Linked DNA regions of Callithrix jacchus. The protein of the gene in region 1 interacts with the protein of each later gene in a pairwise test. Links are inferred from orthologs where the notes say so. Each region holds a gene or a part of one and is shown on either strand. Other genes may lie near its edges. The genes, in order: GFAP, ZC2HC1C and TUBGCP4.

The links.
Region 2: the proteins of GFAP (region 1) and ZC2HC1C interact in binary tests that used the Homo sapiens proteins (3 or more experiments, as listed by UniProt). The link is inferred for Callithrix jacchus from reciprocal best matches to the Homo sapiens genes GFAP and ZC2HC1C.
Region 3: the proteins of GFAP (region 1) and TUBGCP4 interact in a two-hybrid assay, tested with the Homo sapiens proteins (2 studies listed by BioGRID and IntAct). The two-hybrid records come from large-scale screens. The link is inferred for Callithrix jacchus from reciprocal best matches to the Homo sapiens genes GFAP and TUBGCP4.

What each region holds. Positions count from the first base shown.
Region 1 is NC_133506.1:85,316,718-85,327,486, forward strand, and holds the start of GFAP (glial fibrillary acidic protein), read right to left. Parts: upstream 10,270-10,769; 5' UTR 9,326-10,269; coding exon 8,772-9,325; intron 7,820-8,771; coding exon 7,759-7,819; intron 7,555-7,758; coding exon 7,459-7,554; intron 7,172-7,458; coding exon 7,010-7,171; intron 5,551-7,009; coding exon 5,425-5,550; intron 5,210-5,424; coding exon 4,989-5,209; intron 4,415-4,988; coding exon 4,371-4,414; intron 4,014-4,370; coding exon 3,894-4,013; coding exon of another isoform or gene 3,889-3,893; intron 2,011-3,888; coding exon 1,925-2,010; intron 1,263-1,924; coding exon 1,221-1,262; 3' UTR 1-1,220.
Region 2 is NC_133509.1:109,987,678-109,997,663, reverse strand, and holds the end of ZC2HC1C (zinc finger C2HC domain-containing protein 1C), read right to left. Parts: intron 8,205-9,986; exon of another isoform or gene 7,765-8,204; coding exon of another isoform or gene 7,720-7,764; intron 6,330-7,719; coding exon 6,066-6,329; 3' UTR 5,343-6,065; downstream 1-5,342.
Region 3 is NC_133509.1:31,098,069-31,108,937, forward strand, and holds the start of TUBGCP4 (gamma-tubulin complex component 4), read left to right. Parts: upstream 1-4,199; 5' UTR 4,200-4,449; coding exon 4,450-4,527; intron 4,528-10,869. Other genes in the region: ZSCAN29 (zinc finger and SCAN domain-containing protein 29), read right to left, coding at 1-299, 2,041-2,245, 2,715-3,032. UniProt on the Homo sapiens protein: Component of the gamma-tubulin ring complex (gTuRC) which mediates microtubule nucleation.

The DNA.
Region 1 (10,769 bases):
GTAAATAAGCAGCAGTCCCAGGGGCTCAGAGGCTGGGGTGGCCTGGGATGACACAGCAAGGAAGAGGCCTTAGAACTGGGACAAAGTCATGCCCTGCCCCCATGGATACATCCCCTTTCTCTCCTGTTTCAGCATCTTCAAGAGGATGAGTCACTTTCTTAATTCCCACAACTCAGAGGCTAAATGTAACTGGTCGCCCACAACCCCCACTTGGATGTCTAGCGCCGACCTAATTGCCTCCTCCACCATCTCTACCAGCGTCCCCTCCAGTCTGCACGGGGCAGTCCTCCTGGGCTTGACCTCTCTGTACCCACAGCTGGGGGCCAGGCAGCCCCCCTCTATCCCTCCCAGCACCCCATCCCTCTCCACATACACTACAGATCCCCCAAGTGCTGAGAATCAAGCTCCCACGAGCGCACAGTGTGCCCACAGACGGGGTCCCTGGATGGCAGCTCAGGGGGACTGAGACACTTGAGTCATGGCTCAGGAGGTTCCTCTGGGATTTGGGCAGGTGCCTGCCCCAGATGGCAGGACATCCCCACCCATCTTAGACTGGTCAGTGTCAGTTTAGAAGAATAACCCTCTGAGCTGGGCATGGTGGCTCAAGGCTGTAATCCCAGCTACACAGGAGGCTGAGGTGGGAAGACTGCTTGAGCCCAGGAGTTCAAGGCCAGCCTGGGCAGGATAGGGAGACCCCGCCTCAAAAACAACAAAAAATAAAAAAAGCCTCTGGCCAGGACTACCTTGTCTGTGGGGACTTCCCTTTCCTGTCTTAGTCTCAGTTTTCCTCCAGCAGTCTGAGGAAACTCAAAGGCACAGTTCTCAGATACCCAGAGAGAACCTCCAACTCTGGCAACAGTTGCCATAACAACAGGGATCAGGGATGTGGAGGGCAATGGATTTGATCCCCCCGCCCTCCTCCCCTTCTCTTCTTCCTCCTCATTCTAACCCAAGCTGCTGGCCATGCCCCTCAAGACTGCCCCTTGGGGGTGAGTGCCTTGTTAGTTGGAGTTGCTGGGTGCTGGGTGGGTACTGTCTGGCAGGCCTAATGCAGACGGAGCCTAGGGCAGTTAGCTGGCCTAGAGACAAGGAGGGAGGGGAGCAGCTGGGGCAGCGGGAGCTCAGGTCTGGGGAAAGGTGCCAGCAGAGGAGGAGCAACTATCCTGCTCCTGCTTGAGCCCTTCATTCATTGGGGCAGAGGCCACCAGCTGGGTCCCACCTCACATCACATCCTTGTGCTCCTGCTTGGACTCCTTAATGACCTGCAGGGGCAGGGAACATGCACAGTGTGACAATTAGAGGTGCACACAGACCCCAGGTCCACCACTGCAAGGCTGTGTAACCTTGGGCAAGTCCCCACGCTTCCCAGGTCTTTCTTTTCTTGACAATAACCACAACTGCCTCGCACAGTGCTCAGAGAGGGTGGAGAGATAACTCTGGGAAAGTGTTTAGCCTCGTGCCTGGTGCGGGGCAAGCTGCTCGAGTAAGATGAGCTTCCGCTGTAGCTGGAGTGGTGTGGGGGATACACTAAATCCCCTCTTCCCATCCCCCGGTAGTTTCCTTTTTCTAAGCTGGAAATTGAAAGCCCTCCCCATCTCCGACTGTCTCTGCTAGAGTTGGGAGTGAAAGCTGCTAACTTTAACTCTCTTTCTGTCCCTGGCAAGCCAGGCCCCTGAGTGTGAGGGTGAGAAAGAGATAGCGTTTGAGTTAGAACCCCATCTAGTAGCTTTGGTACCAAGGCTTCTCTTAGAACAGCCTATGGAGGGGCTGGGGAAATGGAATTACATCCAGGTTACTTGCTGTCCTCCAGAATTCACTGGAGAGCTCCTGGGAGTTATTGTGCCAACCCCAGGCTCTCATCCACAGCCTGGCCTTGAGAATCCTGGGGGCCAGGCAGCGCCTGATGGCCCAGATCCCTCCTTACCTCTCCATCCCGCATCTCCACAGTCTTCACCACGATGTTCCTCTTGAGGTGGCCTTCTGACACAGACTTGGTGTCCAGGCTGGTTTCTGCAGGTGTGAGGAGAAGAGGCCTCCCATGGACTCTCGGGGCATGAGTCATCCTCTCCCACCCCCGGCTTCCCCATCACGCCCCCAGATCATAATATGAGAACCTATGCAACCGGGCAGAGAGAGCCTAGGCTCTTCCAGATGGGCTGGAGAGCCCCCATATCCCAACGGTGCTGCAGCCCAAGTCCTGGCTGCTCTGTCTTCAGGTCTGGCTTCATTTCAGCCCCTTTGCAAGCCCTGGCCTGGCACCTGGCTTTCTGACAACCCAGCAAGGCATCAAGGAAGGACATGCAGGCTTTGAAATCAGGAGACCAGGTGGGGCATGGTGGCTTCCTCACACCTGTAATCCCTGCACTTTGGGAGGCCGAGGCAGGTGGATCACCTGAGGTCAGGAGTTCAATACCAGCCTGACCAATATGGTGAAACGTTGTCTCTACTAAAAATACAAAAATTAGCCAGACATGGTGACAGGCACCCAAAGTCCCAGCTACTCAGGAGGCTGAGACAGGAGAATCACTTTAACCTGGGAGGTGGAGGTTGCAGTGAGCCAAGATTGCACCACTGCATTCCATCCTAGGTGACAAAAGGATGCTCTGCCTCAAAAAAAAAAAAAAAAAAAAAAGACAGCTGGCTGTAGTGACTCACACCTATAATCCCAGCACTTTGGGAGGCCAAGGCAGGTAGATTACCTGAGGTCAGGAGTTTGAGACCAGCCTGGCCAACTTGGTGAAATCCCATCTCTACTAAAAATACAAAAAATTAGCCAGGTATGGCGGCAGTGCCTGTAATCCCAGTTACTTGGGAGGCTAAGGCAGGAGAATCGCCTGAAACCGGGAGGCGGAGGTTGCAGTGAGCTGAGATCATGCCACTGCACTTCAGCCTGGGCAACAGGAGCGAGACTCCATCGAAAGAAAGAAAGAAGGAAAGAGAGAAAGAGAGAAATGAGGAAAGAAAGAGACCAGAGCTAAAGAAGTCCCAACTTAGCTATGCAACTCTGGGCAAGTTAATTGACCTCTCCCAGCCTCAGTTTCCTCATCTGTAAAATGAGGATGATGGGGCCTATTTCTCTAGGTGGGAGAGAGGAGACAATTAATTAAAATAAAGGCTGTTAAACATGTGGCACATATTAGTGCTTAATACATGTAGGTCCCTTTCCCATCCCCTTTCCCCTTTCCTACTTCTCTCTGCCACTTATCTGTACCCTAGTGACCTGTGACTATCTAGGACTTGGCGGTATTACCTCTACTAGTCAGCCTGGTTAAGCTTTCTGATGCTGAATTAAGCCCTGGGACATGCATATCTAATGGTCCTAAATATTCTAGCCCAGAAGAGGAATTTCGTTCCTTAGCTAGGAATCATTTGAGGGCCACATACAAGTAAAAAGTAATTTCGCTTCACCCCCTAGAGAAAAATTTAACATGTCACATTCACTAATATTTAACATCAAGAGCAGGGAACATGGAACTTTATTCACTGCAAGAGCAGTGGTCCTGAGGGCAGAATCCTCTGGACTGTGTCAGCACTGAGCTGAGCGATGTAGCCTCAGGGGTGAAAGAACAAAGCAGAGAGCCTGGCCTCTAGGCTCAACGAGGCCCTCCCAGTGACGGGAAGAGGTGAGACAGAGGCTGCTCCTTACTCAGAGGCCCCGGTGTAGCTCAGCTGCGCACCCAAGGACCCACCACCTTTACCACTAACCAGCTCTGCCGCTTTAATCTACGGTTATCCTGGGCTGGGCACTGCGGTTCCTGGGAAAATGATGCAGTCCCGGCCCTTTAGGGGAAGCCTGCAAGGAGGGAGCCCAGGAAGACTGGGAGAATGGGATGGTGAGGTTCACTCCCTGTCAAGCTGGGCAAAGCGCTGTGTCTGAGAGGCAGGCAGCTAACCGCGAGCTGGCGGCGCTCCATTTACAATCTGGTGAGCCTGTATTGGTATAACTCGTATTGTGAGGCTTTTGAGATGTCTTGTGACCTTGTGATTTTCCCCGTCTTTGGTGCTTTTGCCCCCTGTAGTGACAAGCAGTTAAAAAAACAAAAACAAAAAACACTCAGAAGGGCAGTGCTTGCTCAGGGATCTGCAGACAGGGCAGACGTTGAAATCTCACCCAGTTTGGCTGTGGAATGGGGTGCAGGGAGGAGAAGAGGGACCCAGGGCCCAGCAGGACAGGGGCGGCTGCCAGCCCCGCCTGGAAGTGCCCTGGGATGGTAGGCTCTGGCAAGAGCGTCTCAGTGAGTCATGAAGGGCCCCAGGGAGAACCTGGATCCCTTTGCCCTGGTCCTCCGTCCCAGGCTGAAGTAGCCTACAGGCCCTGGAGGAGGGGGCAGGACTCCAGTGCCCTTACCATGAGGCCCTGCTCTACTGACCTCGGATCTGCAGGTTGGAGAAGGTCTGCACAGGAATGGTGATGCTGAAAGAAAGCAGAGGGAAAGGGATGCCCAGGCTGGCTGGGACAACCCTAGGCTGGGTCCTGGTCCAGGGCCATCATGACAACTTCAACACCCTTTTTCTTGCCAGGGAGGTCTGACTCTATCTCCTAGCTTTGCCCGGTAGCCAACATGCTAACTGGAGCTCCAAAAGTCTGCAAGGGGCTTGAGTGTTATCTGTGAGGGTTTCATGTTCATCTGAAGGAAGATGGAAGAGGGAGGGGAAAGTGGTGAAGAAAGTTCCAAGGAGACAGAAAAGATGGGTGAGGTGAGGAGTCCAGTCTTTGCTGGGAGGGTGGGGAGTGAGCCTCTTAGTTTGGAGGGTGACTCTTGTCCTTGGCCTTGAGGCCTAATCAATACTGGTTAAATCCATCCATCCATTCATTCATCAGACATCTAGTGACTGGCTGCTGTGTGTGAGGCAGGCGCTGTGCTGGGCTTTGAGGTGGGAAGGGGGCTGGACAAAAGTCTGAAAAAGCCTCAGGCCCTGAAGCGGGTAAGGTGGGCTCTACCGAGAGGCGGCAGGGAGACTTCCCCAGGGCTGTTATCAGGGCTCACCGGTTCTCCTCGCCCTCCAGCAGTTTCCTGTAGGTGGCGATCTCGATGTCCAGGGCCAGCTTGACGTTGAGCAGGTCCTGGTACTCCTGCAAGTGGCGGGCCATCTCGTCCTTGAGGCTCTGCCCCTCTTCCTCCAGCCGCTCCAGCGCCTCCTGGTAACTGGCCGCCTCCCGCGCGTGGCGCTCCTCCTGCTCGCGCATCTGCCTCTCCAGGGACTCGTTCTGTTGGATGGAGCCGTCCGGTCCCGCGGGGCCCCGACTTGACTCGGTGAGGCTTCGAGGCCCGGTCCCCAGCCCCAGGCTCCGCCTCTAGCCCGGGGGTGACGTTCGAGCCCCGCCCTCGCCCCAGGTCCGCGCCCCTGGCCCTTCTACCCTAGCATCTCCTGGGGTGGCCATCCCCTCTCCCCCCACCCCCGTCCTGTCCTGGCCGCGCTCACTGTGCCGCGCAGAGACTCCAGGTCGCAGGTCAAGGACTGCAACTGACGCCGGTAGTCGTTAGCCTCGTGCTTGGCCTGGCGGAGCAGCTCCGCGTTGCGGGCAGCAGCGTCTGTCAGGTCTGCAAACTAGATGGGGATAGGAGCCACAGGCTGAGGGCGGCTGGCGGACACATATAGCGGAGCTGTGTGGGCCCATGGGCAGGCACAGGCTCTGGGAAATCAGGGAGGTGACCAAGACTCCAGTCAACCCCAGGACGTTGGCCCTGGCTGGAACTTTTCCCAGCAACTGTGACCCATGGACGGGGGCACCTAGCACAACACCTGGTCAGCAAACGCATGAACAGTGCCACAGAATCCAGAACCTTCCACACTGACAGCTGCATCTGCGGGACTGAATATCTGTCATCTGCTACAGTGGACAGTGGGTTCCAGCAAGCGGAGCCCTGGGTTTCTTTTTTTTTTTTTGAGACAGAATTTCACTCTTGTTACCCAGGCTGGAGTGCAATGGCGTAGTCTCCTGAGTAGCTGGGATTACAGGCACGCGCCACCATGCCCAGCTAATTTTTTGTATTTTTAGTAGAGACGGGGTTTCACCATGTTGTTCAGGCTGGTCTCCCAAGTAGCTGGGATTACACGTGCCCGTCACCATGCCAGACTAAATTTGTATTTTTAGTAGAGATGGGGTTTCACCATGTTGGCCAGACTGGTCGTGAACTCCTGACCTCAGGTGATCTGCCTGCCATGGGCTCCCAAAGTGTTGGGATTACAGGCATGAGCCACTGTGCCCGGCCTCACCCTGGGCTCTAATAGCCCTTTCTCCCCCACCTGCAGGGAGATCCTCCCAGCTCCATTGGACCTTCGCCCTGCTCACACGCCTGTGGCCTCTGCTTCTCACTCTCCTCAGCTAGGTGCCCTGGTTGGGCCAGCATCTTGGGTCCCTGCCTTCTGTGCTTTTCTGCCTCCAGGCTCTGTCCACCACCAGGAATGGTCCTTTTCTTCTCTTCCTGGCCACAGCCTGCCTGTCCTGCCTAGCCCAAATGCCACACTGCATAGAAGCTCCGAGCTGTGGTTCGGTGCACGTCAACATCACACCTTCCAGGTCAGACACCTCTCTGTGTCCTGGGAGGTGCCTGGCATGCAATAGAGGTTCAATCACCCAAAACAGACTGGCAGAGGCATGGAATGCAGGCTCCCAAGTGAGATGGGCTAGAGTTGGAAATCCAACTGTACTACTTAGGAGCTGTGTGGCTTTGAGCAAATTAGTTAACCTCTCTGCACTTCAGTTTTCTCATCTGTCAAAGAACAGCACCTACTTCATAGTGAGGTAATCCATGAAAAGCACAGGACTTGGCAAGGAACAATATCAGCTACTAATAAAGTAACAGCAATAGTAGCGGTAATAGTAATGGGTACTTTTGGAAGCCATAGTGCCTGTGTGACCCTGGGCAAGCCATCTCACTTCTCTGGTGAAGGTCAGTCACCCAGAGAGACTATTCTCCCAGCTTCCTCCACCCTGCTTCTCCCACTGTCTCATATGGATCAAGGAGAGCTGCCTGGAGGAGGCAGGCTGGCCCACACAGGCTACCTTGGAGCGGTACCACTCCTCGGCTTCATGCATGTTGCTGGACGCCATTGCCTCGTACTGCGTGCGGATCTCTTTCAGGGCTGCAGTAAGGTCTGGCTTGGCCACGTCCAACTCCACGTGGACCTGCTGTCGGGCCAGCTGCTCCTGGAGTTCCCGAACCTCCTGGCCGGGGTGAGAGAAGGGGAACCAGGGCTCAGGGTACAGGCCACAGCTGGGGCTCCCCACAGCATCATGTCCTCTTCTGCCTGCCCCTCAGCCAGGGGTTAGAACGCTCTCTTGTCTGTTTCCCTTATTGCCTTTCTCTCTCTCATGTTCTGTCTCTATCTGCCAGTCTCTGTTTCTCTCCTCTCTCTGAGTGTCTCTCTCACTCTCAGCCTCTCTGTCTCTGCCTCTCCTTCTCTCAGTTGCAATCTCTGTGTTGAGCTTTCCTCCCTCTTCCCTGGCCTCACCTCCTCATGGATCTTCCTCAAGAACCGGATCTCCTCCTCCAGTGACTCGATCTTTCTCTCCAGATCCAGACGGGCCAAGGTGGCTTCATCTGCTTCCTGGAGTGGCAGGAGTGGTGAGGAGCAGAGGGCCACTTGGGCCTCAGGCTCTTCCTCCCCATGCCTCAGCCTTGCCTTACCCCTCCTTCTGGGGCAGTGGGGAGCAGCACATTGCTCTGGAGGGCTGAGCTTGGGGGCTGTGTTTGGGTGGGTTGCCATCAACCCCTTTCCTCCCTCCCTAGCCCCTCCCTCCACCTCCCTGACCTGTCTATAGGCAGCCAGGTTGTTCTCCGCTTCCAGCCTCAGGTTGGTTTCATCCTGGAGCCTGGAGTTGGGGGACACATTCCTGGGTCCAGGCTCTTATGAGGACACTTGGGTCTCTGCCCCAATCTCCCTGGAGGCAACTGTCATAGAGACCACCCGCACCCAGGACCAGCAGAGCAGCAGGAGGAGTAAGGGTTGGGGGGCTTTAGACAGAGGCCTCATCTGGAGGATGAGCAGATGCGCGCTTTTGCCTTAACTCATTACCAAGGTGCCTTATCAGGGTTGGTGCACCTGTTCCTGCTCACAGAGGCGCATCCACTGACATATACTCACTGCTACACACACACACACACACACACACACACACCCTCCTGCACTTGAAGGCACACAGGCGCCTTGCCAGCTCAGTGAAGCGCCATGCCCCTGGGGATTCCTCTGATCCCAGGTAACCACCTTCTGAAATGAATTTTATTATGAGCTTTGCTTCATAGTTGTGCAAGTCAGAGTGACTTGACGGGGGTCACAAGTTGGTGTCAGGCTGTCACCTGTGCTCTACACCCAGGCCTGCCTGCGCTTTCCCCCACTTCCTTTACCCCAGAATCCAATCTCCCTCCTGGATGCCAACCTTCTCCACTTCCAACTCCTTTATACAGACCCAGGCTCAGAATAGGTGAGCTCGCTGCCCACAGTCACAAGGCCCAGCCATGAGTGAAAACGCAAGGGCCCGGCTGCTGGGGGCCCGGCTGCTCCTGCACTGCTTTCCTCAGTGAGGAGGTGCTGAGGGGACCCTGGTTCCCTGGCAGAAGGTGTTTGGGAATCAGATCCCCGGGGCCCTGGCCTCTTTCTGGTCCCTCTCATCATGCTGTAGGGGCAAGGATAAGGCCCCATCAAGAGGTAGGGAGACCCAGGGAGCAGGGAGGCTCAGCCCCTGCCTGAGACTTCTCGGGGACTCCCTCTTGGGGGTTCAGCCCCCTCTGCTCACAAGGCCCCCCCCTTCCCCATCTCCTTCTCACTTCTGCCTCACAGTGCCCAGGTCCTGTGCCAGATTGTCCCTCTCGACCTCCAGCCGGGCGCTGTTGGCAGTGAGTTGATCGAGCCGCAGCCGCAGCTCTCGAAGCTCAGCCTGGTAGACGTCGGCCAGCTTGGTGGGCTCCTTGGCCCGCAGCTGGTTCAGCTCAGCAGCCAGCGCCTTGTTTTGCTGTTCCAGGAAGCGAACCTTCTCGATGTAGCTGGCAAAGCGGTCATTGAGCTCCATCATCTCTGCCCGCTCACTGGCCCGGGTCTCCTTGAAGCCAGCATTGAGTGCCCCAGCCAGGGAGAAGTCCACTCGAGTCGTGAGTGGAGGAGGCATTCGAGCCAGGGAGAGGCGGCTGCCAGGACCCAGACGACGGGAAGCCAGACCCCCCACCATCATCTCCCCCTGGGAGACGTAGGAGCGGCGAGCAGCGGAGGTGATGCGTCTCCTCTCCATCCTGCCCTGGCTCTGCTTGCTCCTGAGACATGAGGGCTTTATGAAGGAGTGGGCTGGGCTGGCAATGCTTGCTGCCCCTGGCAACGCCCCCGGCATAGCCTGAGGGGGTGGGGTTGGGCTGCAGCCCAGCTATGGGGAGAGCTCCTCTCACCCCATTGAGGTCATTGTGCCCAGAGGCAGAGCTTCCTGGACACGCCAACTCCTGCATGAGGCAGGTGGTGCCTGGAGCCAGACCATGGGTCCGGGGCCCTGACCACTGAGGCAAGAGGACCCTCTCTCTAGGAAGGTGGGTCAAGAAGGGTTGGTTGGACCACAATGAATATTACGATTATTATGCATCAATTAAAAAGGAAGGGAAGGGCAGGGTGGGGTGGGTCATACTTGCAATCCCAGCACTTTGGGAGGCTGAGGTGGGAGGATTACTTGAGCCCAGTAGGTTGAGGCTACAGTGAGCTGTCTTTGCACCACTTCAGCCTGGGCAACAGAGACCCTGTCTCAAAAAAAAAAGGAAGGGCTGTACCAGATGACCTCTGACCTGCCTTCCAGCTTTTTGATAACCCAGGCCTTCTGTCACTCAGCTGTAAGTGCCTGCAAGGTGCTGGGAATTTGGTGACGAACAAACCTGTTCCATCTCCTCAAGGGGCGTCTATATCATAGTTTCCGACTAGGCCCCATTCCCAGCAGACCCCTGGACTCCTCCCGTCGAACACAGATGTCCCACATTCCTGCTCTCTGCCCATTCATTCCCTGGAGTTCTGGGGCTGGGGGCTGGGATTGGACACCAGCCCTTTGTCTCAGGTCAGTCATGGTCTCTGTATGGCAGTGGAGGTCCTGATAGGGCAAGAAGGGGCTGGTGCTCTCTGGCCCAGTCCATGGCTGCACTTCAGCCCCTGGGTCTGTCCCTCCGGGTCACCCCTTCCTTGCCTGCCTCCCTGCGCCCCCCTCCCAGAGCCTGGGCCTTGACAGCTCCGCAAAGCAGTTATGCATCAGCTGGCTGTGCCGGCTCGAATCTTTGCTTCTTTGCTCCTGTTTCCCTGGCCACTCCTCCATCTCCCACTGGAGATTTATCTCCTCAAGTTACCACACATCAGGCTGTGGAGATGAGAAGGACCTCTGGGGATGGATGGGTTTGGGAACTCAGGAGCCACTGGGTCCAACTGGGAGCCTGAGACTTGGGCCCTGTTGTCCCTGGAGACTTCAGGTCCATCTATGCTTTCCACTCTGGTCTTACAGGGTCAGAACCCTGCCGAGGCCCCTCACCCATTTGTGTCCTTGGACTTCTGGGAAGCAGACAACCCTCCTCTCCCCCCTGCCACCCACTGTCCATGCCTGGACCTCCTCTGATCCCCTTTCCCGGGCACTTGCTGAATAGAGCCTTGTTCTCCACCGCCGGTGGCGCCACACAGCAAGGGCAGCCCCTAGGGGGCTGTGCTGCCTTTATCCCAAGATGCCAGGCTGTCAGGCTGGTGTGCAAGGCAAGCCCCCTCTCAATGGGCTTCTCGGAAAGCATCTGAGGGGGGCTGGGGTGCGGCGGGAAGCA
Region 2 (9,986 bases), on another chromosome or scaffold:
AGAGAATTAAGTCCATGGGGCAGTTGGAATAGCCTTAAGAGAAAATCATGAAGGAGAAGTCTTCCCTTAGCCGCCTCTACTTGGCATCTTAGAGAGGGCTCTGAATCTTCTGCCTGTGAGACGACTTCTTGAGCCCCTGCCTTCATGGCTCTTAGGGTTCTAATCTTGATATCAACAGCCCCAACCGCTTTGTTTCTGTATGTCTAGTCAGTATTTTTCCCCTTGTGGTGTTTTATGAAGCCATGTGATAACCAGTGAATCTCTATCATCTTACCTGAGTGGCCAAAGCCAGCACCAAACCCTGGAGTCCCTGAAGCCTAACAACAGGCAGAACTTGCAAAAGGAGTTTGGCTGAGAGCTCACTTCTAATCTTGTACTCATTGTGTCTTTGTAGACAGGAACAAGCTAGCTTTGCCAAAGAGAAAGTGTCCTAGAAGGACAAAACTTCTTATAGAAAGTTCTAGACAAGTATTGGTGGTTTCCTTAAGGATGTGAGCTTTGTGTTTCCACCTAGCCTTGTAAAATGTTCCTGTAGTATTTTGTGTCAAACATCCTACCTTTGATGAGTCTAACATCCCACCTTCCTACAAAGAGCTTAATTAATTTTGTTTCATTTTCCCCAGACCAAAATGTTTGATAATCTTTTCAACATTGTGGGAGGTCCTGTGCAATGGAAATTTTGCCATTTCCCCAAAACTGGTGGCATAAAGACTGATGCTTGGGGAGAACCCCATGGCTGGGGACAGGCAACTCTGTTCAATGGGATCTTCTTTGGTTTGATGTTCCCATTGTTTTCTCAGTTCTGGGAAGCCTAGTACATTAATACTAATATAATCACTGAAACCTTTTCTTGAAATAAGAGAAGTGGCCAAACTTTGATTAAAGTTGCAAGTTCTGGGGACTTGGGATTGCCATAAACCCTAACTGTGGGTTTTGGTTCAGCATGTAAATGCAACTTTGATTTTCTTAAGGACCGATTGGCCTATCATGTCCCTGTATCCTCATGCTCATCATCTCAGCAGGCCTGAGAGGCCAGGTCAGTTTGAGTGTTCATCATGAGGATTGCTTCTGCTGTGGATCTGATGGACATGGGCATGTTGCCGAGAAGGTGGGGTGAAAGTGAGCGCCGGGGGTGGGTGAGGGCCTTGCTCTTGTTCAGAGGGGAGTCTTTCCCTAGCAGTGGAATGCTGTGGTCATTTTCTCTAGCATATTCTCTTGGGAAGTCTAGATTTGCTATTAATCCAGCTGAGAATCTAAGTTCTGTGCCTTAGAGACAATTTGCACTTTCCCATATTGTGCCTGGGACAGCCTTATGACTTTTTTTTCCACTAAACAAGTATGCAAACAGAAACCAGTTCAAAGGGGGATAGACTAAAAAATGAGGCAGTAGAAATGCCTTTGAATGGTTTTCTGTAGCTAATTCTCTTTAAATTTTGTCCTGCTTTTTTCCTTTATGCAGTGCTAGGTGTTTTTAAGTTTTCTAGTAGTATTGCTTTTGAGTTACACGATAACCTGTTACTCCTCTGCTCTAACATTGTTGCGGAAGAACTAGCTTATTGTTAGCCAGGTTGCTTGAAAGGTTGAGGGTAGAGTGGTTTGGCATTTCTGTTTTAAATAAACATTTAAACTCTCAATCAGTGCTGTGCCTCGGTAAGTCTGTGCATGGACCTTAGTCTCTGGGGATAAAACATCCAGATTCTAGGCCTTTGTGAATCTTTGATTCTGTGAGTCTTTATATAAATAATGTTCTTGGAACAGAAACAATGCAAGGGACATTTGCACAGAAATAATCTTTGCTTCTCTCCAGTTTCTTATTCTTGCCAGCAGAATCATTTCTGCTGCTACAGCTTTTTTCCCAATGAGATCTAAAAGTGCCAAAAGTGCAAAGGGAGGGAAAAAATGAGCCATTTAAAAGAAGGATGATCCCGTCTTGTACCTGCCTCCTCAGTCTCAGTGGGGGGCCTTTCCAAGTGATAATGCCAGTTTATGGTTTGTGAAACTTCTCCCTCAGAGAGATTGAATTGAATTTGGTCTCCCTGGCATAGCATAGCTAAGTTACAACTTCTCTTGGCTGAGCATTTCACTGAAGTTTAAAGCAAAAGTAGACAGTTTTCATTTCATTTGCCATATGTTCACAAACATTCATAATAGAACAATTCAGAAGCAAGAATGCATTTTAAGTAAATTCACTCAGATGAAATCCCTGAACCCCAAAAAAGTATTCGTGATGGTTAGGGCAGAGTGGGCTGTAATCAGGACTATACAACATTCCTTCCTGCTGCAAAGCCAAAAATCATTGTTTCAGTGATTAAGTGTGGAAATAAGCTGATCACTAAACCTCACAGAATCATGAACATTAGGGCGAAAAACTCCACTATGTCACATTTCTCTTACCTCCTGTGAAGCTGTGGAGAGTGATACATTGATAATGAAAGCAAACATTGGTTAGAAGGTGCTGTGCTGCATTACATACACTGCTGTCCAGAAATACTGTCTCAGCACGTCCACACACATTTTTAATAAAATGAGTTCCTATGTGAGTTTCCCTATGGAATTTTTCCCATGGATCAACCTTTTGAACTTTAGAACTTAAAATGTTTACTTGCACTAAAGGTTCTTGGATAAAGTAGTATAAGATATTAACAAGCATGCATTTATTTACTGCCATCCACTGAGCTATCCAGGAAGAGATTCAGATTTTTTTTTTTTTTGAGATGGAGTTTCGCTCTTGTTGCCCAGGCTGGAGTGAAATGGTGCGATATCAGCTCACCGCAACCTCCACCTCCCAGGTTCAAGCGATTCTCCTATCTCAGCCTTTTTTTTTTTTTTTTTTTTTTTGTATTTTTAGTAGAGACGGGGTTTCTCCATGTTGGTCAGGCTGGTCTCAAACTCCTGACCTCAGGTGATCCACCCGCCTCAGCCTCCCAAAGTACTGGGATTACAGGCATGAGCTACCTCAGCTGGCCCAAGATTTAGACTTTTTTTTAAAAAAAAAAAGGTTCTTACGTCTTCCCAGAGACCAGATCAAGCTAAATTTAAAAGATGAAAGCTATTTCTAATATAACCAAGGCCTAAACATATAGAGATTAAAGGGAACCCTAAGGCATTGACTACTGTTTTATTTCCTTTTTCTTTTTTTTTTGAGACGGAGTTTTGCTCTTGTTACCCAGGCTAGAGTGCAATGGCGCAATCTCGGCTCACCGCACCCTCCGCCTCCTTGGTTCAGGCAATTCTCCTGCCTCAGCCTCCTGAGTAGCTGGGATTACAGGCACATGCCACCGTGCCCAGCTAATTTTTTGTATTTTTAGTAGAGACGGGGTTTCACCATGTTGACTAGGATGGTCTTGATCTCCTGACCTCGTTCGTGATCCACCCGCCTCGGCCTCCCAAAGTGCTGGGATTACAGGCTTGAGCCACTGCACCTGGCCTGTTTTATTTCTTTAGCAAAATGAGAGTGAATAACTGCTTCATTGTCTATAGAAAGCACTCTCCACATATAACAACACTTGTTCTATCTGGAGGGCCCTGATCTGTGACCTTACTAACATTATCCAGGGATCCCAAATCCAAGTGCCTATGGGACCAGGCAAATAAGGTAGAGAAGTGAAGTAGGCCCGGTGAGACTGTGGTGGTCTGCTGCTACCATTCCCATTTGAAGGAGCATCTGATTCTAAACCCCACCCAATCTGTGCTGTGCAGGTTGCTGGCCCAGTGTTTAAAGAACTCCCAGTTTTTCAAGAGATGTTCCATATACCAAGTTTTTGTTGTTGTTGTTATTTGTTTTGAGACAGAGTCATGCTCTATTGCCCAGCCTGGACTGCAGTGGCGTGACCTTGGCTCACTGCAACCTCCACCTCCCAGTTTCAAGCAATGTCTCAGCCTCCCGAGTAGCTAGGATTATAGGTGCACACCACCACATCTGGCTAATTTTTGTATTTTTAGTAGAGACGGGATTTCACCATCTTGCAAGCCGGTCTTGAACTCCTCAGCTTGTGATCCACCCGCCTCAGCCTCCCAAAGTGCTGGAATTACAGGTGTGAGCTATATCCCAGTTTTTAAATGTCAGCTATATCCCATATCCCAGTTTTTAAATGTCAAATTATATTTTGAATGGTAGGCCAGCTAAATAAAACATCTGTGGAGCAAAGCATTCCATATGTTGCCATTTTGTGACCTTGGCCACAGCTTATTCTTGCCATCTATTGCAATATAATAGTTTACATTTCCACTTAAAGCACACATTTCATTGAACTTGCCTAGAGAATGTACATATTAGGTTTATCCAGTATCTCTGTGTGAGCTTTCCTTAAGGGGGCTAACCAAAAGCGTTATGATGTGATATCTCCTTTCCTTTGAAACAATTAACAAGAATGCAAAGAATTAGCCAGGCATGGCAGCACACACCTGTAATCCCAGCTACTCAGGAGGGCTGAGGTAGGTGAATCACTTGAACCTGGGAGATGGAGGTTGCAGTGAGCCGAGATCACGCCATTGCACTCCAGCCTAAGTGACAGAGCGAGCCTCTGTCTCTCAAAAACAAAAAAGTGCAAAGAAGTAAGTATTTATATATAAAATCCTATATATTTAAATATATAGGATTTTTTTCCCAGCCTATGTCCTGTAACTTCACCATTCAAGCCTTAATTCACATTTCAAATTGGTCTGTTAGCCCAGCCACTCAGCAGAAGCTGCAGAGGAAATGGAACAAGAGTGAGTGGCCATTTGTTATTTAGTAAAATAGGATTTTGTTGTCTGTCTAGCCCTGTTGCCTAGCTCAAATTGACCAGTTTTTCTCCAGTATTTTAAAGTAACAATGTGAGTAATGCAGAACAGTAATTCTAGGATTTCTATCTGTTGTGCTAACTTCACTCCTATCTGAATCGATAATACTCTCACAGACATTAACTTATCAGTTCTCTCATTTCACTAGTCTTCTTTTTGTTTAATTTTAAATCTCCAGATCTCATTAATTGAGGGTCTAACTTGTGCTAGGCAATAGCTACACAGAGAAAATTAAAAAGATTTGATCCCTTTCCCTTCAAAGTTTATGCTCTGAAATAGAAGTTGACTGTGCTACAATTTGCAAGGGCATGTGACACTGTGCAATGTCCCAGCTTTGTTTTGTTTTGAGATGGGGTCTTGCTTTGTTGTCAAGGCTGCTCTTAAACTCCTGGCCTCAAGCAGTCCTCCCACTTCAGCCTCCAAAAGTGCTAGGATTATAGGAATGAGCCACCATGCCCAGCCTGTCTCAGCTCACTTTTATGGTAGATTTTGCTGCCTCTAAACAGTCATTTAGCCCAACCAATTTGAAAGTAGAGTGCTAGTAACAACTAAAATGGAGGTTTCTTTCTTTTTTAACATATGAAACGCATTAGAAAAGAACAAGTAGAGAGAAGTATAATATCTGCCCCCCGCAACACCCATCCCCACCCTGTGAAGTACATAAAGATCTTTCCTTTATTACACAGTACACCACAGGGAAGGTTAGGAGACACTGGTGCCTTAACCTCACATACTTGTATTGGTTTTTGGCCAGGATCATGCACCAGAGAGACCAAGGATAGATTTTCATTAATAATGTCTTACAGGAAAATTGTATTGTCTTTTATAAATGAGTTACCATCTCGGTCATCATGCCCCTCTGACACCAACACATCCTAATATCTCCAACTTCTATAAAAGCAAGAGTTAACAGGAACTATGGACATACATGCAGTGACAAGAAGGCACAACCAGATGCAGGCACTTCACTAGCACAAACCACAAGTCAGGCATGCAAGAAGAGAACTTTAATGGAGCCTGTTCCCAACTCTTCAGTGTCTTCACCCATCAATTCTGAGTGCGATAACATAAAGCATACCAGCTGAGGTTGTAATTTAGTGGGAAGCTGGGGCTTCCTTCTGCCTCCTGCTGCTTAGCAGTGGCTCTCTCCTCAGATTTTAGCTTTGCAGGCAGATCTGGGAGCTGTTTCGTTTCTTTCTGCTTTGTATCAAATTCTACTCCCATTTACTCCTAAAGAAAAGCAGAGCTTTCTGAACTATCCAAAAGTTTCCACTGTCATCTGCTCAACTGTAATGCTTCCTTGGAGGTGGAGGGCGGTTCTTGATGGTCTTACACTTGGGAATGTGTTGCTCAGCCACCTTGGGAGCAAAGTGGCGGCTATAGTGAGGACACTGAATGTAGTCTGGGTTTTCTGAAGGCAGGATGGGAGGCAAGTCTGAAGGGTTTCCACCTTTGGCAATTACCTGCTGGACCTCTCGAGCCTGGCGGAGGGTACGGATAAAATATTCGTGCTTCTGTCTCCAGTTGCTCTTCCGAGGAGGTTCAGCCTGTAATGTAAAAGGGATACTGATCTTTCAACTTGGCACTTGTCTCCTTACTGAGTCTCCATTAGAATAACAGTAAGAAAATGAAAAGGGTACTAATCTGCAAGATCAAAGAGAACAGGAAAGGAGCAATAGTGGTAACTGACTTGCCAGAGTTGAGGCAAACGAAGGGCCTGCAAAGAGCGTACTGCTGAGAGGCAAGCTGCTTTCCCAGCAGAACTCCAGAGAAGTTCAGTGCTTGGAAGTACCAGATGGTGCAAAGTAAGGAGGTACAGGACTGAAAACAGGCAGGACCCCACAGCTCCTCCCACCTTGCACATCCAAGTGTCCAACACCCAAGCACACTTAGAGAAGAACAAGGATTTATTCTCTGGAGAAATTGAACCAGACAAATTTCCGACTCAGGAAATCCAGACAAGTGAAACTTGGGGGTTAATCTGGGGACTGAAAATGGGGATTAAGTAGAAGTGTACATACCAAATTATGGAAATGTCAGCCCCCTTCTCCTGCTCAGCCCCCAGAGTATCAAGCATATTGGCATCCTCTTAGGAAAAAGAGGGGTTCTTTGGATACATGGAGCAGTCTAGAGAAAAGCCCTCAGATACCTTGGAGAACCCTAATTAAAAGGCTATTTAGTAACCTTAATATGAAGGTCCTTAGTCAACAAGCCCCACTTAAGATTAAATATGAAAGGACAGCCAGGAATCATCAAATATTTGCTAAAGCTCTAACAAGAAAAAGGGCCCAAAAAGTCAACAAACAAAAAACGCAGGAAGCAGCAACAAGGCAGATAGAGGAAGAAAACTTTTTTTTAACATGAAATCGTATCAACAAAATGAGTATTAGAAGAGGTTGTGTCCGTAAAACAAGAAGCGTATACTGTGAAAAAAGGACAACCAGAGAACCAGAAAGAACTATTAAACTATAAATTTAAACTTTGATAGCTAAAAATAAAAATCAAATAGAAATGTTGTCAAAAATTTCTCAGAATGGGAAAAAAGATGAGGATGGAAAGTGAAAAGATAAGATTGGAAAATTAGAAAGTTAATCCTGGAAGTCCAACATGTGACCAGTAAGAGTTCCAAAAGGAACAGAGAAAGCATGAGGAGAAAATTATTAAAGACATAATACAATTAACATTCCTAGAATTAACGGTCACACATCTTGAGATTGAAATGGCTTACCAAGTATCCAGCACAATTATTGTAAAGTTTCAGAATTTCAAAATAAATAGAGAATCCCAAAGCCTTTCAGAAAAAGAAAAAAGAAAACACGGGTTTCTTGTAATGGAACAGAAATCAAAATGACATTCGATTTCTCAATAATACACTGGATGCTAAAAGCTAGTGGGAAATATCTTAAAAGTTCTAACAGAAAATCATTTTCCTCCTAGAATTCTGTACCCAGCCAAATCATCAAATGGGAGTCTATTAGATAGATACTACCATTCATTCCAAGACAATATACCTGCTGTGCACCTTTCTTAGCTTCAGCAACGCAAGGAGTAATGCAAGAAAAAGGAAGACACGGAATGCTGCAAACAGGGGAGCCAACACAGAAGAGAAGCAAAGAGAAGTCCCAAGACAATGGGCTTGCACCAGGCCTAGAAAATAACCAGTCCAGGTTGAAGCAGAAGGGATCAGAGTGGTGGAAGGGAGGTTTTCAGAATTAAAAAATCAAACTGATAGATTATGAGAGGTGTTTGAGCATTACAAAAACATTAACAGATGTCTGATATCAGATGGATCATTGCGGGTAAAAATAAGGAGAGGTATGTAGAAAATGAAGAAAATGAAAACATAACGTCCATTATTAACTCTAGGTACATGTGGGCAGAGACAACATTTATTCACTCATTAAAGAACAAAATTTACATGATCATTACAATGTGAAAGCTGACTTCTTTTAACCAAAAATTGTGATTCGACTACAGTGGAAGGGTAAGAGAAGGAGAAAAGTAGGAGAGGGGGATATGAAAGAGAATTTCACTCACAGCTTCCATAAGAAGTTACCAGGTAGGCCAAGCACCATGGCTCATGCCTGTAATCCCAGCACTCTGGGAGGTCAAGGTGGGCAGATCACTTGAGGTCAGGAGTTCAAGACCAGCTTGGCCAACATGGTGAAACCCTGTCTCTACTAAAAATACAAAAATTAGCCAGGCGTGGTGGCACACATGTATAATCCCAGCTACTCAGGAGGCTGAGGCACAAAAATTGCTTGAACCTGGGAGGTGGAGGTTGCAGTAAGCCAAGATGGCACCACTGCACTCCAGCCTGCATGATAGAGACTCTGTCTCAAAAAAAAAACAAAAAACAGGTAATGTGGAAAATTGATAAATCAAGAAAATAAGCATATTATTTAGAAATATGGAAGGGCAGACCAGAAGAACCATCTAACAGAACTGAAGGCTGCCTCTGGGGGCTGGACTAGGGGCTCCACTGTAGGTCACTCAGTACAACATGACTTTTTAAATGCATACAAATACTATTAAATTTTTAAAAAAGAAAAAGAGCAGACAAATAGCTCCTGGTGATCTGGCATTGTTAATGATGAATAGTAGGAAGAGAGATTTTATCAAAGGAAAAGAAAGTGTCCTTGGGGAAAGTCTTACCGAAACAGACAAGAAGGCAAGAGAGTGTTAGACATGGTGTCCCAGAACCTTTAAAAGAATTTGATTAGGGGAAAGTTCCTCAAGTGTATGAAACACTTTAGTAATTTACTTCTTATACTCGAATTCCTATAATTTTATTCCTCACTGTACTGAAATTCTATTCAGTTAACACTTATTAAGCATAAAGCACAAAGATATGTTCCCTGTCCTTGAAAATGCTTATTAGTTCAGGAGAGAGATGAGGTATACATCCACTGGAAGTTACGTGAAAATTAAAGGATACCAGGAAAATCACCTGTTCTTAATTACTCTAGAGGAATGACAGGAAGATACAACCACTCAGTTTCCAAAGGCACAGTACTGTGGAATAAGACTTGAGACATTACCAGGGTGGTGTGGGTACAGCTTAGTCTAGTTCCCTTCTGTCTTGGTGTCCTCAGTGTCATACATTCTGCCAAACTAGCTGCCATAAAGCTGGAGCGTCTGATCTCAGGAACCTAATTATTTTACTTCACTGCAACTGTATTTACAAATTTAAGAAACACAAGATGTTTTAGGCTCTGGCCAAAAATAAATCGCTATAGTGGGACAGAGTGAATCCCCAGTGGATTATTGGGTTGAACAGAAAGAAAACAGGAAAAAACAGTAAGTGGCCATCATATTATTATCTGCAAGAGCAAAATGTTGATTTCTTTTTTGAAAACTAGATTTCAGGGAGGTTGTCTCTGAATACAGATGGGACTTGCTTGTGATTTCCCCAAACTGTACTGAAAGAAAGAACTCTAACTGTAAACAATTTTTTCTAACAACCATCATATAAATGTGAGTTTTTAAAGCCTCCAGCAAATACACAGAAACTGTAAAGTGCTGATGGACAAGAGGTGCCAGCACAGCAGAGCGAGGGTTGGAAAGAAATGAAAGCAGAATGACACTTTCTTATTTTTCTGGAATAACTAGATGGGCGATCGAGATCATATGGTCTACACTTCCCAAACTTCAATCATTTGTTCTTTCACTTAATCCTTACAATTAATTAAGATTTTTCTGTA
Region 3 (10,869 bases), on another chromosome or scaffold:
TCTATGACAGTTTCGGAGAGCCTCATAAAACTCAGTCTGGCTGAGAATTGCAAGCAGCGTTCTGGTCTCTTCATAACCCCAGTGCACACCTGCCACCTTCTCATCCTCAAAGCCCCAGTGATCCTGTTCCACCCAGCTTCTTCTGTCTTTCTTGGATGGTAACAGATCAGCATGCACTCGTCTGTCTCCCGTGTAGCTACCACTTGGAAGTTCTTTGTCCTTGGAGCCCGGCAGATCTGGAATCCATGGCTCTCCTTGCTCCAACCTGGAGACCACACCAGATTTAGGAAATGGAAATCCTGCTTGCGGGGAAGCAAACAAAGGGTATCTTAGGACTGATTATAAAAAAATATTTGAAATTCAGTCCTGCCTTTTTCATCCAAGAGGATTATAAATAAAGTGTCTAGGGAAATGTTTTCAGAAAGTTCAATGGGTTGAAAAAGGTGGGGAAAATACAGGAAACCTCAAAAGATAAGAAATGTTCTATTTTCCAAAGCAGGGTGACCAGAGAGGAAAGGAGTCTGTGTGTTCAGAGCAGATAATTCTATTCCAAGTTGTTCCCTAGCTTTCCTATTTGTACGCAGGTCATTATTCTTCACTTGGGGCTTCAGAATTAAAGTCAGAGTGATTTCAAGGGGGAAGTGAGAAAAGACTGTCTTTATGTTTCCTTCACAGTCAGTCACCAAGTTCTAAAGGTGTTTATGTTTAGAACTACTGCCACCATCCAAGTCCAAACTCCTTATCCTCTCATACCAGATAACTGCAGCAGTCACTGTTCTTCCTATCTCCAGGCTCTTGCTTCCTCAGTGCACATTTTACCCTGCTGAGCCTTAACCTTAGTACCTACCATACCCATTCCTGTCAGACTCTTGCTCCAGAACACAGCACACTTTTATTACCCCCTCTGTGGCTTTTAATTCTCTCTTATCCAATTTCAGCCTGTCCTTCAAGAGGCTACATTTGCCAATGCCCTCAAGAAGCCTTACCTACAGCCTTCCCTTATCTCCCACTCTGCCAAACCCATACAGTACTCACACAACTGAGCGAGTCATTGGCATTGTTTCAGTACAGTTCAGTTCAGCACATACTTAGAGTTAGCTATTGTGGTTCTCAATGATGTTTTTAAGTTCTTTGAGGATATGCACATTTTTTTTTATTGCAGAGTATCCTGCAAGATGTTGAGCACCTTGATAGGTGTTCCAAAACTAATGAACTCTGCAAGTCTGTGAGATTCAGGGATTTAATCTGCATCACTAAGCAGAGAGACCATTACCAAATTGGCTGAGAAAGCTATCATCTTAGACGATAATACCACAATTCAAAACTACCTCAACAAATTTTAAGCGAAATGGTAACAGAAAAAAGTATACAATATGGAGATCAATAGAATACAAAGAAGAAAAACAAGTTCTACAAAATCAAGTACAAGAATAATCAAGTAGGTATAAAGGCACTGGGGAAAGCTATCGGAATCCTGGAAGTTACCAGGTGAACAAAAAAATCATATAATCACAGGTTGGGCTATATTGATACAAGGCGTTGCAAGATTCTGAAGTAAAATTCTTACTTAGCTTCTAACAGACTTTCACAAGAATAATATACATAAATTAGTTCTCCACTATTAACATGATATTTGGAGAACTTAAAGATTCCAATAGAGAGCAACAAAAACTTAGGTTTAAAAAATGGATCTTCTAGTGGAAAGCTTAAGGAAACAAATAGAGTTTAATTTGAAGAAGGAAAACAACCAACAGGAAGATCTGCCTTCAAGTATAGAAAAGAATTTTTATCTAGAAAATAACAACCTATCATCATTACCAAGAGGAAGTAATTCCAAGTTCTGATAAAAACTAGGGAGCTATTCTCTAGTGGACTTATCAAGAGGTAATAAAAGAATACCAGAAGGCTAAACTACATGTCAATAACCACATATTCTACAATTTCCACTTATTCCTGAAATCCCTTTCCCACTCACTATTCCCAACGCTACTTCCCAACTTGGAATGGCACTCTATCTTCCCATATGAATCTACTCCTCACCGCTCCTTTGAAAAGGTCTGAGCTTCTCCTTTGGGTTCCTCTGCTCCTGTGGTCCCAGGTCTGGGCTTCTTGCCCTCTCTTTCTTGGGTACGCCCCTGGGTTGGGGTTCCACTGACTCCTGCCGAACATTTAATAACTCTTGTGATGATTTCAGGGGTGTCATCTTCTCCAAGCGCACTTCCTGCCCCTTCACAGAGACTGTGACCTAGAAACAACCCCCGTTAATTGTCACTGCAAAGTTATAATGAGGGGCATTCCCAAAGGAGATTATTTAATACCCCAAAAGAGATCATCCTTCAGGGCCATGGCCAGGATTTTAGGGGTGGGGGGTTAAAGTGAACAAGGGTCTTATTCCATTGCCATTAGCTTAAAGCAGCTGAAACTCCAGAAGGAAATGATCAAAACAGTAAACCCAACTACAGGCTGAAAAAAAAAATCCTCTTTCTTATTAAGAAACTATAAGACTAGCAAAAACTCATTATGACAGGGTAGGTGAAGGTACACCTAGGTAGCATCTCCAGACAAGCACTATCTGAAAAAGTTACTTATACCAGACCAGAAGTATAAGCATCACCAAGGGAGATTGTGTCCTTCTTTAAGCCTGTCTATTAATTTAGCCCTCCACCCTTGCCCCTTCCCAATATCACACTTTTGAATTCCCCCTCCCTTCTCACCGAAGGTCCAGGTCTTCCAGGCTCTCTTTCTAAATCTTCCACCAGAGTCACTGCCTCCTCTCCATTTTCTGGACACCGTTCCTGTACCCAATTCTGGATCTCCCCAGGTAAGACGGTCAGGAACTGCTCTAGCACCAACAGTTCTACAATCTGTTCCTTGGTGCGCACCTCGGGCCTTAACCACCGACAGCAAAGTTCCCAGAGTTGGCTGAAAGCCTCCCGCGGCCCAGCCACCTCCTGGTAATGGAATCTCCTGAAGCGCTGTCGGAATGTCTCAGAGTTAGGGCCATTCTCTCTCAGGGAGGATTTGGCCATCATTCACAGCAGAAAGCAGCTTCCCTCCACTTAAGAGTCTGGGTTCCAAAGCTTACATCTATCTTCCCATGTCCTTGGAGAATCACCTGCAGATGACACTCTGTCTGTAAGAAGAGTTTCTTCCTAGGGCAGAGAAAGATGGTACTATCAGAAGGAATATATTCATAAGTCTAAAGTCTTGTCAGAACTGGTCTGCCTTCCCATATGCTCCAAGTGGCCTTCTTAGGTAGCACAACCTTCAGTAAAAAGACTGCAGAAGCTGCTTTTGTGGATGACGTCCAGAGCAGCCCCAGGAAGCAGCAGAGAATAAAAATACTGCCCGCTCCTCTCCCACCTCCTCCAAATCCGATCCCATTTAACTCCCCTGACCAATGTTGCATAGTGAGTCCGAACCATACAGATGAACTGGAGTTCGAGAGGATCACTATCCTGCTTGAAGGTAACAAAAAGCCTCTGTCCAGCTGGTCGCAGCTGATCTTCCCAAGTACCGCCGCAGTCCTTCCTAAGGCCTTCTGCGTCCGCCCAGCCCCCGCGGGCTGCACAACTCCCAACGCCCACCCCAGGCAAAAATCAGGTCCAGAATTTCGAGTCTTTGTTTTCCCCTCGTAGAAGCAGTAGCCTCTCAGCAAGGATTCGGGCGCAACTTGTTGGAAAACCTCAAGCAAGGAGAGAAACCAATTTTGGCTCCAAAGCGAGGACTGAGTGGGTTTGGGGAGAGTCAGACTGCGTTGGAGAGACGGAGTCCGAGGGCCAGTAGTAACCGGCTTCCTAAGGATGAGCTCAGGTGCCGGCCAGGGGCTTCAGGTGCTGCCGGTTCGAGGACGCAGAGCTCTCAGCTTAAGGAGGGACGGCTGCGGGATTCCGGCCTCTTTGTCTCCGCTCCCTCCGGCCGGGTCACCCGCAGCCGTCGTGCAGTCCCTCCAGAGGCCTCTGACCCGGCTAAGGCGCCCTAAGGGCGCCCTCCAGCCCACCCCACCCCTGAGAGGGTCTCCCTCTCGAGCTGCCCTCAACCTCCTCGCATCCTTGCCTCCTGGCCAGCCTCACCCACTCAGGGTCCCGCCCCGGCCCCAGCTCCAGTCTCTAGCTACTAAGTACAGCTCCCAAACCGGAAGTCCAAGCAGGCGGCTCGGGGCACCGAGGACGCATGCGCGAGGGCAGCGACCGCGACTCAGTCTCTGCAGAGCTCTGGCGGGAGTAGCGGGTGGGCCCCGTGGAGCCACCGAACTTCCGGGACTCGGCCGTGACCCCTTCCTGGCTTCACGTCCGCTCTGCCGCATTGTCTCAGCGGGTTGATTTGGGACAAAACACCCGACCCAGGAGCCGATGCGAGTGTGTGAAGGGGAGCACTCCCCTCGTGGTCGCCAGGAGGGGCGCTGGAGGAGGGGGCGACGTATCCAGGGACTCGAGGTCGGCTGCGGGAATGATCCACGAACTACTCTTGGCTCTGAGCGGGTACCCTGGGTCCATTTTCACCTGGAACAAGCGGAGTGGCCTGCAGGTAGTGTCCGGCGCAGAGCGCGGAAACCAGGGAGCGCTGGAGCGGCGGACCTGAGCCAGCGTTTAGGGGATGAGGCTGAGGGACCGAGAGGGCGGGGCTTACAGGGCTGGGGGCGTGTCCCTGGACAGGTGACTGGAGGGCAGTCCCTTAAGGTGAACGCTGATGTGACGCCTAGAGAGAGGCCTGGCTTACGCTGGAAAATGGAGGGCCGATCTCGAAGAGGCCCTCCTGTGGCAGGGCGAGGAAAGGGCCTGAGGTCGAGGTGTCTGAGTGACAGTTGCTGGGAAATGATATAGAAGTGTGGGAGGCACTTTCTCCTATTTTATTTTCACGCATGCATTGTTTGAATTTTGAAGGACTGCTCCAAATACACAGCTCCCAAACACATAGAAAGCGTTAAGTAAAGTTTGTAGAATGAAGAAATGAAATGGAGAGCGTGTGATGTTTCCCTCATTACTCCTTTACCAGGAAATTTCTGCACTAGGTAAAGAACTTGGAAGGGGGCCTTCGTGTAACCAGGAATGTATGATGATCCGTATATACATTATCTTATTTAATCCTCACAACCGCCTATATCCATTTTACGGATTAATCTAGGTTTAGAATGTTAAATAACTACCGGGATCACATAGCTAGTAATTAACAGAGCTTAGTTTTGAACCCAAACCTGTCTGGCTTCAGTGTTTGAACTATTCTTACCTGCTTCTGCTTCCAGTAATGTTATCTAATGCTCTCAATAATTTAGTAACTTAGGTATTGTTTCTACCGGTTAACAAATGATCAAACTGAAGCTCAGAGAACTTTATGCTGGCTAGTCCTGGTAATAGCAAGATTGAAATCTAGGTCCAACTGATCACGAAGGCATGCCTGTTCCTAGGAGAATTTGCAATATAGACTGGAAGAGCAGAAAAGGTACATTCTTAGTCTATAAAACCTGTAAATCAAACAGATTCCTTTGTTATTGTTTATGAATGTGTATTTGAAGTTAGGGAGTTTAGGTGAATTTTTTTATTATTTTTATTTTTAGAGTGAGTCACTGTATCGCCCAGGTGGGAGTGCAATGGCACCCTCTTGGCTCACTGCAACCTCCATCTCCCGGGTTCAAGCAGTTCTCCTGCCTCAGCCTCCCGAGTAGCTGGGATTTCAGGCACCTGCCATCTTTCCCGGCTAATTTTGTATTTTTGGTAGAGACAAGGTTTCTCCATGTTGGCCAAGCTGGTCTTGAACTCCTAACCTCAAGTGATCTGCCCACTTCAGCCTCCCAAAGTGCTGGGATTACAGGCTTGAGCCACCACACCCTGCCTATGTGAATTTTTGAAAAAAAATAAGTGAGGTGAAGATTTGCCTGGTAGAGTTTGAATTGTTACTTTTGACCTGTAGGTCCTTGAAGACTAAGTCGATGTTTCACTTTTCTCCATAGAACTTAGTACAATACCAGGCATGTAGGAGGCGAGTAGTATTCAGGAAGTATGTGTGTGCCTGATTGTCCAAAATGAAAAGAGATAACACAGTAAGGGAAAGACTAGCTAGGGAGGGGGTGGGGGAGACAGCCACAAGTAATTCATCTTTTCCCTTCCTTTCTTTCTTATGAAAAATTCTCAAACATGTATTTTCTAGCTTTTCATCCTTAAGGTCTCAGCTTTAAAGTCACTTTGTCAGAAAAACTTTCTCTGGCTACATCTTTAAATTAAGCATCCTCCCCTAATGCCATTATTCTCTATCAACTTGTTTATTTTCCTTATAGGATTTGTCACAATTTATAATGTATTTTTGTTACCTGTTTATAAATCTTTCTCCCTCATAGGTTGCCCATGGGAGCAAAGACCACAGTGGTCTTCTTCACTGATGTACCCGGAGGACCTAGCACATTTTCTGCCACATAGCAAGTGTTTAGGTATTAATGGAAAACAAGAAGACAAAGACAGCAAATATAACATACTTTTTGCAGAGTGGTGTCTTTTACATTTGAATAAAGGGAACAGTTGTCATGAGTGCCACGTGTTGATGAAAATTATTATAATATTGAATATATACTTAAGCTAGGTATAAACTCAAGCATAATGCTGTTAAACAACTATAAAATCAAATATTCTTATAAATTAAAATTAAACAAAACTACCAAATCAATATATTCAAATGACCATTACTCTAATTCAGGATTTCTCAGCCTGTTCATATAAGTATGTTGTATAGAATGGTATCAGTAACTTCAAGGTATTGTTTGCTGTTTCAGAATAATTAGACATTGAACTTTTCGAAAGCTCTGCCAAAAAGAAATGCTTAAATGCCAATTTTAATAATGGTATCATTGGATAACTGGTAGAGCTGCCTTGTTAATAATACAACATTGCTTATGCATATTGAGCACTGGCTCTGTGCTTGGGACATGTGCTTATTAACTTATTTAATCCTCACAATTATTTTCTTCAGTTTATAGGTTTGAAAACTGAAGCACAGAGAGGTATAGTAACTTACCTGAGCTTTCAAGCAAGTAAGAGGCAACACAGGGATTCAAACCCAGGTAGTCAGTCTCCAGACACCAGGTTCTTAAGACCAGGTGTTGTGCTACCTCTTAAGTTACTAACTTGAAAATGTGATTAGCATTGTGTCATTAAAATATACATTAATTGATTCCTAATCAATTTTCTGTGGACTCCGCAACAGAAAAATTCTTCTTTGCCTATTTGCTACCACATTTACTGTCATATAAAGATGACATCCACATATAATCTATATTATATATCCACCCATTTATAATATGCCAAGTTCATTTGGAGCATTAACTGTATCCGATTTTATTTATCTCAAAGTATTAGCAGAGTATCTGAGATATAGTAAAGGAAATGTGAAATGGTATAGCCGTTGTGGAAAATGGTATGGCAGTTCTTCAAAAAATTAAAGGCCAGGCACACGGCTCACACCTGTGATCTCAGCCCTTTGGGAGGGTGAAGCTGAAGGATCAGTTAATGCCAGGAATTTGAGGCTAGCCTGCACAACAGAGCAAGACTCCATCTCTACAAAAAAATTTTTTTTGCCGGGCGCGGTGGCTCAAGCCTATAATCCCAGCACTTTGGGAGGCATGGTGGGTGGATCACAAGGTCAAGAGATCGAGACCATCCTGGTCATGGTGAAACCCCGTCTCTACTAAAAATACAAAAAAAAAATTAGCTGGGCATAGTGGCGCGTGCCTGTAATCCCAGCTACTCATGAGGCTGAGGCAGGAGAAGTGCCTGAACCCAGGAGGCAGAGGTTGTGGTGAGCCGAGATCGTGCCATTGCACTCCAGCCTGGGTAACAAGAGCGAAACTCCGTCTCAAAAAAAAAAAAAAAAAAAAAATTTTTTTTTAATTAGCTGGCTATGGTGACACGTGCCGTAGTCCTAGCTACTCTGGAGGCTGAGGTGGGAGAATTGGTTGAACCTAAGGGTTCATGTTACAGTGAGCTATGAACCCACCACTGTACTCCAGTCTGGGTGACAGAGTGAAACCTTGTCTCTTAAAAAAAAAATTAAATATAAAATTACCATATAATCTAGCACTTCCACTTCTGAGTATATCCCAAAAGAAGTGAAAATAGGGACCCAACAGGTATTTGTACACCCATGTTCACCAAGCATTATTCACAGTAGCTAAAAGGTGGAAGCAAGTGTCCATGGAGGGACCAATAGGTAATTGAGATTCAGTATATATATACAAGGAAGTATTATTCAGCCCTAAAAAGGAAGGAAATTCTGGCACATGCTACAACATGGATGAACTGAAATAAGCTTGTCACAAAAGGACAAGCAATAATTCCACTGTTTGTGGTTTTTTTTTTTTTTTAGACAGTCAGGTTCTGTTGCCCAGGCTGGAGTGCAGTGGCACAATCTCGGCTCACTGCAACCTCCACCTCCCAGGTTCAAGGAATTCTCGTGCCTCATCCTAGCTGGGATTACAGGCACCTGCCACCATGCCCAGCTTTTTGTATTTTTAGTAGAGACGGGGTTTCATCATGTTGGCCATGCTGGTGTGTACCTGACCGCACATGATCCACCCACCTTGGCCTCCCAAAGTGCTAGGATTACAGGAGTGAGCCACCATGCCCGGCCTAAATGATTCCACTCACGTGAGGTAGCTAGAGTAGTTAAAATTGTAAGGTTAGCCAAGAGAAAAGACAGTAGGCCCAACATCATGCAAACAAGTTTTATTAATCTGCCGGGCTGCTCCCTAACAATTAGAAGAGACAGCCCCGGGCCTATAACACAAGGGGTTTATATGGGGTAAGAGGAGCATAAGGGAGTTTCAGGACTGAGCTAATCTGTCAGCTTTTAACAGGCACAAAGATGATTTGTCAGCTTGTGACAGACTTAACAGTACATCATCTTGTGACTTTTGTGGTGGCAGTTTAAAAAACAGGATTTTACAGGTATGTGTAAAATAGGAATTTAAACAGTTTTGTTTTCCATGACCTCCCCCGCGGCGCTGCCCAGGTGGCTGTAATCAGGCTTTGCTCAATTGTAGTGTATCTGGCAGCCTTGCTGTGGTGCCTAGATAGGAATGCAGCTGCAGAGCAATCAGAGTGGGGGTCAGCTGCCCCTAACAGTCCAGCCTTTTAATAGTTAATAGAAGAGGGGGCACCATTGTCATCTGGCTGCTTCTTGCTGGATAGGAGCCACGCTCACGTTTGGGCCGAGGGAGGCTAGCTAGTAGGAACTGTCGTTCCTGGAGTTGTTGGTATTCTTGGAGCAGCATCATATCTTGTATTGTTCCATGGGTGAAAGTTTTAATACAGTCCTGTAAAAACTGGGTGAGGAGTTGTAAGAGGCAGGGCCCAAATGCTAGAAGGAAGAAAAAGGTTATGGCAGGACCTAGGAGGGCCAGTAGCCAGGGTGCCCAGGAATTATGGAACCACTGGGGCCAGGTAGAATGACTGTCTTTAAGTTTTTGTGCTCAGTCTTTGAGCTTTTTGATAGCATCCCGTACTAGCCCAGATTCATTGAGGTAGAAACAGCACTGTTTATTTAAGAGGCACAGACCTCCTTCTTCAGCAGTGAGGAGGTCTAGGCCTCTGTGATTTTGTAGGATGACTGCTGCTACAGAGTCTTGTTGGTTTTGGAGGTGAGTGATAAGAGTTTGCTGTTTTTTCTAGTGATGATTGGAAGTCTCCAGAGAGTGACTGGAAATATGATAATGAGGTTCCTAGGCTTCCAGCTTCTAACTTGACAGTAGTTGTGACTCCAGGGTCTACTAATAAGGGCATGAATTATATTGCTCTTTTTGAACAGGCATGTAATGTAGCAAGAACAGGGAGTTTTTGATTTGGAGAGACAAGGTTAATGTTGGGGGTAAGGTATACGAGGGTGCAAGTATCTGTCCAGTTGGTAGGAAGACCAAAAGTAGGTTGCGGATCCACAGAGAAAGAAGATGCCTGCGGTGTTAATGAAAACAAACAAGTGGATTGAGAATAGGTGGTGCCTCCTTTGAAGGGACTCAGCAACCCAGAGTGAGGAGGAGAGAGAGACCCCTTTGAGAACTCCTGTCTGGGGAAGGGGTTTCCATGTTTGAGAGGCAAGATGGGAGGAAATGCGGAGGGTCTGGGTAAAGAGGCCATTAGCTTCAGGGGAAACTGAATAATCTACTTGGAATGAGGTATGGGAAGAGGGATGAGAGATGGTTTGAGTTGAGCCACAGGCAGAGGGAGGGATGGTGCCTACATGTATGTGTCCTTTGGAAGAGGTGACACATAAGGGGGCTTGGCCAAGTTTTGTGGTGTGGAGGGTTATGGGACCTTGGGTGGCTGGGTGAGGGAGTTTTGTGCTGTTGTAATAGGTAGTGTATGTGGAGAGAAGTTTGGTAGCTCTGTTAGCAAGGGCAGTGGGATAGTTCCCAGCGAGGATGAGGGCTCTATCTACAAAGGCAGAGCCTTTTGGATGGTGTATGAAAAGCGAATGGGAATATGGTCTCAGGGCTGAGAAATTAGGGTAGCTGAGTAGAGAGTAGAGAAAAAGAAACAACAGGTCCAGCAACGGGAAGCAAGTGTAGAGTTGCAGCGCAGTAACAAGGAGGGAGTGAGACTGAGAGATACTTTGAGCCTTGTAGAAGTGAGAAGGGACTCTGAGGGAGCAGAGGCAGTGGGGCTATTAAAAGAGGAACTTGAAGAAGAATTGGAGTTTGTATCTGGGGGAAGGAGTTGTGAGAAGTTGTATGGGGAGGTGACTTTTTGTTGTAGCAGTGAAGCTCTTTCAGTGGGGGAATATTGGGGTCGGATTGTGGAGATAATGAGGAAAAGGGCAGGGGCAGAAGAAAAGGGGGATTTTTTTGCTACCTCGTCTGCCTCTGTTTCCTCTTGAGATTTTATCTGACCC